Drosophila melanogaster: one gene and its partners. The protein of the gene in region 3 interacts with the protein of the main gene of each other region in a pairwise test. Each region holds a gene or a part of one and is shown on either strand. Other genes may lie near its edges.

Region 1 (3,465 bases), on a different chromosome or scaffold from region 3:
TTGCCAGCACTTGAGCCTTTGAATTTCGTGGGTGCGTTTGCATTCCAGCAACTTGAATCAAGAAGTCCAGCTCAAATGCTAACTAGTAACTAGTGAACGTTTGATTTAAGTGGTGAGCAGTAATTAGCAGAGGGGGAAAAAAATGGTGGATCCTAATAGTTATTCGTACTAGCTTCCATATATATATTCTTGCACTTCATTAGGGTTTGAGGACCGAAGAGCACTGCTGGCAGCACTGCAAAGGGTTAAGGGCTTGGCATGTCAGCCAGCTGGACGAGGGTTCCGGCCTCCTTCGCAGCTTCTCCACCGCCTTTTGCCTATGGTACATACATACATACGTACGTACTACGTACTACCCATGACACTACTCATGGGCGCAAACTTTGTGCACAGCCTGTCAACGTCAAGGAGTGGCCAACTGGCCTCCATGGCGGTGGTGACTGTACCGCGCCCCCGGCCTAAAGGTGTTCGAGGAAAAGTTCTTGAGCCTCGTCGACTTGATGTTGGGTCCTCCAGTTGGACCAGCTGATGCCGTCATGATGGATGGGTCTCATGGCGTTTAGAATTTTCTAGGATTTTTCACACTCATAGCCATCCAGTGTTTAAATTATTCGCATGATGTTCAGTTTTACGCCGTTTTAATAACTTCAACGCCACATGATTTGTTTCAAAAGTTCGCCCGAGGGATTGTCTCCCACGCGCCATCTCCATAAATTACGCCAATTTGTAGATATCTCTTAAGCAGGAAATATTTTCATTTGCCTGCTAAAAAGATTCCATTAAATTTTGATTTTTCTATTATAATTTATAATTTATTTATAAATCCAATATAACCGATTAATTACCAATTTTTGCCAGTGTTTCTTTCGCTTTATGGCCAAAAAAAAAAAAAAAAGAAAGCATCATTGAAATCGAAGGGAATTTCTGTTGGTCAGCTCATCGAAGATGAGATGAGGTGTTGGATACTTGAGCAGGGGAGGAGAAGATGGCCTGAATAGCGATGCTGATGTGGCGGTGGACAAGGATATGGATGTGGATGCCGATGATGCCGATGATGCCGATGATGACGATGATGATGATGATGATGATGATGATGATGACTGAGCTTGCATAAACGAGTTTGCCCTTAAGTGTATGCGCATGCTGAAGGATGGGGCGGCGGATCCAAAGGAACTGGCTGAGGGAGACTCCAAAATGAGGTGCTGTTGAAGGTGGTGGTTGGCAGGGGGTGTCAGGAGGGGGTCGCAAGGACGACAAGCAGAGCGAGGAGAATTTGTGCGTGAGCAGCATTTTCGATGTGCCACACATACAACCAAGTTATTTATGCAGACTCACATACAAAGCATGCAAAGATTTTGCATTACCCTTCCATCAGGCAACCACCGTCCTTCCATTAACTCGCCACCATACACCATACACTACCCACTTTCCACTACCGATTACCCACTATATCCAGTAGCCAGTAGCCAGGCATCCACCACCCACTGAATGGGCTCTGTGCCAGCATCAAAAGTAGCATCTGCCCGGGAGGTCCGCATACAATTAGCTGCAACTGTAATTAAAGCAATTGTATAATAAATCTTTTGCCAAATGGGAAAAGATCCAACCCACTCTCGCTCCTTTCAACCCCAGCAGGTATATATAATCGGCAAGGGGGGAAAATGTGGGCTTAAGCAGCGGGTGCCAAGTGAAATGCTAGCCAAGGAAAAACTACGAAATTAATATAAATTTAATAGTTTGGCCCCTGGCATTTATGGAGGGCATAAAACGAAGGCGGGTCGTTAAATGCATTCAAATGGATCAGCTAGAAAAAAAAAAAGAACGAAATGAGTGCCCTGCAAAATATTCTACAGCTTTACGGTCTATACTTACTCGAGTTTTTGAAATGTGGCTACCATTTTCGAGTTGAGCACAAATTTATTCGGGTTTGCTGTCGCCCCCACGGATTCAGTTGTCACAATTTGGTTTGGTCAAGTAACAAGCCGAAACCCTTAAAAAATTGTTCGAATGTTGATTGAGGAAACCTTTTTGGCGAAGCTCACATAAGCCCACTTAAATGTCTAACCAGCGATCCCGACACGTTCGTCGTCCGGCAGCGGAAATAGTCCGCGAACTGAGGAATCTTCGCGCCTCGCCTCTGCGGATCGACGACGAGAACGAGTCGTGGGTGAATGGCTACGAGAAGCCACCAACTCCGGATCTACCGGTGACCAGTCGCGATCAGTTGGAGCTGCTACGTCTGAGCCGCCATCGAATCGGTCTGCTTCTGGTTCGACCCGCCTTCGAGCAGGCCGTCACTGGATGCTTTGTCCGCGTGAATGTCAGTGGGCAGGGAGAGTTGCCTGATCATCGAATCGCCGAGGTGCTGGGCATCTGCGAACTGGACTTTGGCTACAAAGTGGAGCAGATACCCACGAATGTGGCGCTGCGATTGCGCTACGATGACCTGGAGATGCAGCACGAGATTAACGATGTCTCTAACCTGAACTTCACCCAGGAGGAATTCGAACTGTGGCGCGATAACTGTGTTAACCAGGCCATAAGTCCACCCACCACCCACATACTGACGCGCAAGAAGGTCGAACTGTACAACGCACTGCAGTTGGAGGCCAAGCCTTTAAGCCTGATCCAAAGGACCTTCTCCTTCGCCCTGAGGCCCCAGCAGAAAATCGGCATCATGGAGCGGCATGGCGTTGTTTATCCCTGGCAATTGAATCATTCGCTCCCGTTCGTTTCGCAATCGCCAACTGAAAATCCATCGAGGGGAAAAGCGGATACCGTAGACGAGGAGGAAGATCCGGGGGCAGCTGCTCCATTATTACCAAAAACTGAACCAAATTAATAGGCAATTGTTAATTTTTGAACATTTATTTAGCAAAGATAATGGCAATTGGTGGAACTTTTAATGGCTTGTTATCATAAATAATTACAGTCATAATTGTTGTGCGAATTTTTGGACTTAAAATGTGTTAAAATGTAATCCATCGAACTGGTTGAAATATAATGAACACCAGCGGATTTTGTTTATATAAATTAGGAGGATCTATGAGCGCTCAAGCTTTAATAAAAGTTTATGCTTGGAGTTTAAAAATGATTTAAGTTCAAGGGTGTTGAATGCAATTTGGAACTTACACTTTTACAGCACCTATAAATTCTGCAAATAAAATGTTTTTAAAACGATACAATGTGGGAGCGTGGGGAGTGGAAATTGGGGGACACTTAAATGCCGTGCAATTAGCAGTGAAACAGTGAAAGAGCAAAGAGATTGAGATGGCCAAGGTGGCCAAGAAATTCGACCCCTTTGAACGGCTTTTGTCGCCGGTGTGGCGCCACCTAGCGGCCAGCCCCTTTGCAGATTTGGGAGCAACTTTGGCACGCTAATGAACAACAAACTTGGAGCAACGTTACGAAATGGCAACAAAATATCGTCAATAGGGCAAAAGAAATGACGGAAATTAAATGAAA
Region 2 (2,956 bases), on a different chromosome or scaffold from region 3:
CCCGTCTTTAATTCTAAAAATATTCTAAATACTGCATTATCGATTTTATTTATGTTTATGTAATTTAGTGTGAGTCATCAATCAGAAGCATGGAATTAAGTCCTTCCTCTTAAATATAAAATTGTGATTCATGGAAACCTTGAACTCTCCTCATGAAATTCAATTCGGAATTTCGTATTTATCAAATGGCACTTATCAATTTTATTTTTTTTTTATCGAAAAAAACACATTTATTCCACCTGACAAGATAACCAACTAAGCTACTGTGCAAAACGCACATAACAAAATTAGGAAAAAAAATTCCCCCTCATTAGCGATAAAAATTGACTTAAATAGTTAAGCAGGCGAAGAAGCAAGTTCAGTTCGAGAAAGCAGTCAAAGGCATTCACTTCACCCACTAAGGATACAATACTTGGATAGTTTCTGAAGAAAATGCCGTACTACGAGGAGGAACGTCGTCATCACCATCATCACCATCACGGTGGAAGGCCAATTGTAGAGGTGGACATTGTGCCGCCAAGGATTCCTCGACCAGTGATTGAGATCGGAGTGGGCGGCCGGTATCCACCACCACCGCCCAGGGTGGAGGTCATCACACCAGCTGCCGTCTACCAGCCGCCACCACCACGACCCATTATCGAGGTGGATGTGGTGCCACCAAGAGCTCCCTTCATCGAGTTCAACATCGGCGGTCGGCGTCCACCTCCCAGGGAAGAGGTCATCATCGTTCAGCAGCCCCCACCGCCCAGGTGGTAGGCGTGGTCTCCATATGACCGTCGTTCAACAACGAAGTAAAAAACTTTAAAAATATTTATTAAACTTCATGTATTTCTGCAAATAGAAACTATAAACTAACTTTTTACAAAACCTAAGCTCTTGTATAATAAAAATAAAAAATAAATAAACAGTTCACTCCTTCATGTTTGAATTTCGTGTTTATACTACTATATACTATAGTATACTATATATTACGCACATATTTCTTCATGTAAGCTGACATTTTAATTTGCCTCAATCTTATTGCCAATGCAATTGTAAATCCGCTCGAAATATTTGCTTAAATAACTTAAATGCACTTTACCTTAATTGAAATATACTTGATTGGTTTTCAATGTCGGTTCTTGCTGTGACACATTTTCATATTGCGAATATATATGCCTGCATTTATTTGCAATGTTAATGGTACAAATATGAAAATTGAACTGCAGGCGAACGACATAAACAATGGTCATGGTCATGATTCCTTTTCCACTCTCTATTTTCCGTACGGGTAATTGCTTTCGTGGATTTTTTGTGGTTTTTGTATATATTATTTGGCTTCGGTTTTGCTATCTGACTGGTGGGAAATGATTGATGTCCTCTGGTCGTAGCCAGCTTATCAATTATTGTACAACTAGTGCTGTCAGTACATAAACATATTTTAAGCTTTATTATAACGAAAACTGGGCAATAGTTTTCTCAATTTAAATGGCGTAATAAATATAAAAGATCTTGCTGGACTCAAAGTAAAATTTGAATTATGATTTTATATGAAAAGTTATACCATTCTTGCCGTATTTAAATAAGAATTGCATATCCAACTATGGCTTAAAATGTATATGTATACAAATGAAAAATATTTTTCATGATAAGAGTTCGGGAATTGATATCTAAAAAAGAATTAATTACTCATGAAGAGAAGAGTCAAGATAATTATTTTTGGATTCTTAAACTATCGAGAATAGCAAGTAAAAATGTATCCTAAAAAACCACTTAAGAAGAGGTCTATGATGAGTCACTCTAGAATGAAAAGTTCAACATCCCTAGAACATATGAGTCACAGAAAATCGAGGGATTGAGAGATTGAATCACAACTGCTGCAGCAGAATTACGAGTTTGATCCATCACTGTTGTGATAAGCGAGTCCTCAATTTTTCTTATCGCATTCAAACTGGCTGTATAAAAAGGTTATAAGTTAAAGTTAAAAGCCAAATTGAAGTGCAGTCGAGCAGAGACAACTTAGAGCCAAGACAAGACAGAGCCATGTCCGACATCAATATCAACCTCAAGTGCGCCGAGTGCAACCATCCTCGAGGAGTCCTGTACTATGCAAATCCCCTGGCTTGGGGCCGTCCTTGTCGCCAGTGCCGCAGGATGATGTCCCGAAATGTTGTGGTTGTTCCCACTCAGGTTGCAGTTCCAGTTGCTACCAACAACAACATCACCACCACTACTACATTTGTACCAGTCGCTGCTGTGTCCACCCAATAAATGGAAAAATATGCTCTTCAAAATATAATAAAACTTTTGAGAAATCGAAACAGTATTTTCCTTTGTTTTACATTTGAAAAATAGTATTATAACATTCTTTAAGCTGTGGATTTACTGAATGATTTTTTGATCAAACTTAAGTTTGTTTGTATTATCTCTAAAATTTTAACTTTGAAGAATCTGCTGATATTGGGAAATGGCTATTGGATTTTGTGGCCAAAACACTAAGTTTTCATTTATCTTGTTTATATATTGTCAATAAACAGAAAAAGTATCAACTTGGATTAGTGGTACTATAGATGATAAAAAACTATTTTATTTGCGCACCATTTAGTAAAAATCGAACATATAATGCCAGCTACTACTACGTATTTACCCTTGTATCTTATCAGTTTACTTGTGGAATCGAGTGCATCGATCTCAATAGCTTATTTAAATAAGCCTATGATTCTGATCTACCTTAACACTTTTCAAGTGCCCAGTTACCCAAGATGACTCACGATCTTATCCCAATCCCAAGGCAACCCCAAGTTGGCGAGCACCCATGAATCAGCGACCCCAGTGAACTGTATAATGCAATGAGCCAGCCCTGAAAGAATTGAATCACTAAGTTGTGCCAAAAACGTTGATCGATCAATGTGCTGATAAAAGGCAAAGAGGATTTTCTTATCGCACTGAGTGTCGAAGCACTAAAAAAAAAATAAAA
Region 3 (3,761 bases):
TAGTCGACAAAGTCGTCGAAGAGGCTGGGCCACGCTTCGGTATCATCGTAATTTTGTATATCACATTGTTCCGTAAAATTGAGGTACATGTTCCATGTATCCTTCGGTATGCGGCGAATATTCGGGTGCTTTTCGAGGAAGTGTATCCAGTTGGAGAAGAGATCAGGTGTTTGTACAGTGAACACAAGTTTCCACAGGTCAATAGCCATCTCCAGAGAGAGGACGCGCTGATCGGGCTCCAGACCAAATCTGAAATTTGAGACGCTAATTAGGTACTGATCTTCCAAGCAGTAAGAACGGCATACCGGAATGTAAAGCGGTATAACTGCTTGAACATCTCGGCGTCCGCCTTGAGCATCTCGATTGTCTGCTCCAGCCGCACCCGGATACTGTCTATTGTGTCCGCCCTCATCTTATGCAGACCCTCAATGAACTCCACCTTGGTGAAGCGGCACATCTGCGAGGCATCCAGGCACCAGGCCAAGACGAGAATTGCGAACTCATCGGGCTGATAGTTGAGGTCATTGCATAGTCGCTCGATGCCGTCCGTGAGTATCATCTCCTCGTCGTCGGGATCTTTGTACACATCGAATAGTTTGCTCAGCGTTTGGTGCGATACCTCCATCGATTCCTGGACAGCTATTAGAATATAGAAAATCGAATGAGTATGCCGCCAAGGCAGTCGAATGAACGCTGACTCACCAGTTGTTATGATATCGCTCATGGTGGGCGCACTGCCATTAAGCAAACCTAAAGACTTAAAACTATTACGCTTAGTATCACAATTGTTTGCTTTTGCTGGCTTGAGTGGAGTTCGGCTAGAGAGCAGTTCATCGGTTTCTAGAGTGCATAAGCCGGAATAAGAGAGGTTTCTTAGACTTTGGATCACAATGCGGTTATTAACTATAGAATACCCACCTAAGGCGCAGCGCTCGTTGGCATTGGGATTAATGCCCACCGATTCGTAGCAATTTGCAAGGCTGGTGGCCGTCTGGCAGGCGTTGGAATTGGAATTGTGTGAATTGGGGGACGAGGCGTTCGTTGGCATCGATTGTTCGGCGGCAGACTGGAAGCATTTCAGGCAATTGCCCATAGTGCGGGCGTGCTTGGTGCACCACCAGGTCCTACTCCTCCCCCGTGCTCCGCCTGCAGTTGCTTGCTTAACGGGAGCACTCGATGGCTTCCAGTTTCGTTTTGGCTGAGACACTGTGATTTGTCAAGGGGCGTGCAATTGCAATTGAGGTCTGCTGGTCGTATAGCTTCTGGGAAATTTATTAACTATGCATTGGCACTGCGATTCCCTCCTCTGGCATATGGTAGTGGCTATTCCGATTCCGATTCCAAGTACGTCCTGTGCGAGTACAAACAAGTACGATTCCGATTCCGATTCTTTGTTGTCACTGCGATTGCTGTTGTTATTTTGGTGCCTCCTACGCAAACGCACACTCACGCGTATACACATACATGTGCAGGTTGCAACTGCAGCATTTGGTGCCACCAAATCGCGCTCGTCTCTCTCTATTGATGGTTTTCATTCACATTTTCAGTTCACCGTGCTCCAGCGCGTGTTTAACTACAATTTTTTACAATATTTTTAATTTGATTTATCTCGCTTTTTCACTTGTCTTGTTTTTTTCTGGCAATCGGACCAGGGCGGCACTAGTCAACCAGGGCTGCAGTGCTCTACGTTAGTTGATGCGATAGTCGTAGCAACTTCAGTCTGGCAACACCCTATCGTCGAAGAGAGTCACAGTAGGACATACAAGTTGATTCCGCACAGTAGTTCACACCTTAAATATTTTCGTACAAATTATTCTATATTCAAATACGATTATTGAACCAATACGTTCAATACAATGTTTTTATTAATTTATATTCTTTATATTACTTTATTGGTTAAGAAATTTAAAACAAAACATTAGCATACATAATTTTTCCCATTAAAATATTTAGTTGCCGTCTAAGCAGCATCTATCATTTTCTCGACCACTGTGCGTAATGTGAGCGCCGAGTTTGAGCAAAGCTAACAATTTCATTCAACAACATGCAGTCGGAGCGGTAGAAAGTGCTTCCGGGTAACGGCTTTCGGAACGTGCATATTCTACCGATCGCAGATGAAAACTTTCGGTTCGTTTGGCTAAAAAGAAAAGTGTCAAGCTGCCCGGAGTGGGAAAATCCAATTTGAAATCCTGCATTTGAAAAGTCGTCTTGAACCGGGACAACTAACTGGTAATAAGTGAGTGTGTGTACCCGTGGTAAATAAGTAAATGGTTGACTGTCTCGATTTTCGGTTGTTTTGGGCAATTCGAAAACCAGCCAACAAGGTTGAGTGAACTTGGTAGTTGGTCGTTGGTATGTAAGCCAAACTCCGTCGTGCGCAGTAAATGGGTAATGTTTTCTTGTGTGCGTGTGTCGTGGGCCTGTGATTCTTCGCGGCGGCTACACTTTTCTTTTTCTTTTTTGGATTATTAATTCGAAACGTGTGAACGTTAGTACAAGTGCTGGGAAAAAGGGCAATATGCTTAGGCTTAGGAATTTGGCTCATCTTCGGGCTTATTTTAATTGGCCAGCCCCACACAATAAGCACATTAAAAAGTGGAGTAAGACAAGAAGTACGAAAACCCCGTCTACATTTGGTACCAGTAACACCAAAACGGAAATCAGTCGATCTGATACATACATTGTACATATGTATATGCATATATAGGGATCCAAACCTAACATCACCACATCTAAAATGAGAAAACCGTAAACTAAAATGATTTATATCTTTTTTTACTCTAAATATAACAATACACACACCGTTCCAATCATTAAGTATACATTATTTCAGCGCTGAGCGGAAGATTCTTGGGTATGTTGAGCATATTTTCGAAGTAGCTGGACAGCTCTTCGAAATTAACTTCGTCGGGGCTTTGAGTCGGAGCTTCTGTGCCTCCATTAGAGAAAATATCATCACATTGACAGGTCAGGTAGACTGTATCGGGATCCGTTGGGATCGATTTAGCCAGATCCTGTAGTTTGTCCACCCTTGGGACCGTCAAGTTTATGGCGTTTCCGTAACCACAAATATTTTCACACTCGCTCATCATGGTTTTAAGATCGTAGGCATTGCCAGAAACCTTTCCAGTCGCAATCTTTGCCCAATTAGATTCCTTCTCTTCGTCGGTGTCTCGAATTTTGTGAGCCCAATCCACTCCTTCGGCACGAATTCTTTTAAAGGGATGTTCAATTATTGACTTTCGAAGAAGAAACTTTTGCTTCAGTGTATGCTTCGGAATTCGTAGATCTTCGAATTTGTTGGAATCCAAAGTTGCCTCTATTGCAGATTTATCGAAAGTTGTTGCTTCGATTGGATTGTCAGATATTATCATCTTACGCAGCTCGGAGGAGATTTTTTCTATAGACATGCTTTTTAATTGTAAAGAATTGTTGGCGCTTATGTGTGTGACCTAATTTTGAGAATCTTGAGATGTGTGATGGAAAGGAATGGCAAGTATAATGAACAGCCTACTCATCTCGCCTTGGATTCCTTTCAGATCGATTCAAGAATTTCCATCGCCAACCTGATTGAAAGATAACACAGACGAATATGTCATCGGATCGGTTTCACAAGTGGGTACATGCAATTAATTTGACTCTATCTTATCACCAATGGTGATGCACAAGAGACTCATTAACTTTCTGGTACAATCGTTTCCGTTTAGAGCCGCCAAAGATGGGCTGTTGGATGTGTTGGCAGCAGCCACACGGAAGGATAC

Evidence for each region.
Region 1: the proteins of Sans (region 3) and CG12498 interact in a two-hybrid assay, tested with the Drosophila melanogaster proteins (one large-scale study listed by BioGRID).
Region 2: the proteins of Sans (region 3) and CG43773 interact in a two-hybrid assay, tested with the Drosophila melanogaster proteins (one large-scale study listed by BioGRID).

What each region holds. Positions count from the first base shown.
Region 1 is NC_004354.4:2,807,911-2,811,375, forward strand, and holds CG12498 (uncharacterized protein), read left to right. Parts: upstream 1-1,970; 5' UTR 1,971-2,056; coding exon 2,057-2,842; 3' UTR 2,843-2,936; downstream 2,937-3,465.
Region 2 is NT_033779.5:4,005,681-4,008,636, forward strand, and holds CG43773 (uncharacterized protein), read left to right. Parts: upstream 1-2,009; 5' UTR 2,010-2,022; coding exon 2,023-2,250; 3' UTR 2,251-2,304; downstream 2,305-2,956. Other genes in the region: CG15423 (uncharacterized protein), read left to right, coding at 433-756.
Region 3 is NT_033778.4:12,934,861-12,938,621, forward strand, and holds the start of Sans (scaffold protein containing ankyrin repeats and SAM domain), read left to right. Parts: upstream 1-2,030; 5' UTR 2,031-2,229; exon of another isoform or gene 2,230-2,236; intron 2,237-2,755; exon of another isoform or gene 2,756-2,813; coding exon of another isoform or gene 2,814-3,410; exon of another isoform or gene 3,411-3,483; intron 3,484-3,539; 5' UTR 3,540-3,592; coding exon 3,593-3,615; intron 3,616-3,707; coding exon 3,708-3,761. Other genes in the region: SCCRO3 (squamous cell carcinoma-related oncogene 3), read right to left, coding at 1-249, 306-639, 703-840, 919-1,093; CG30487 (uncharacterized protein), read right to left, coding at 2,814-3,410.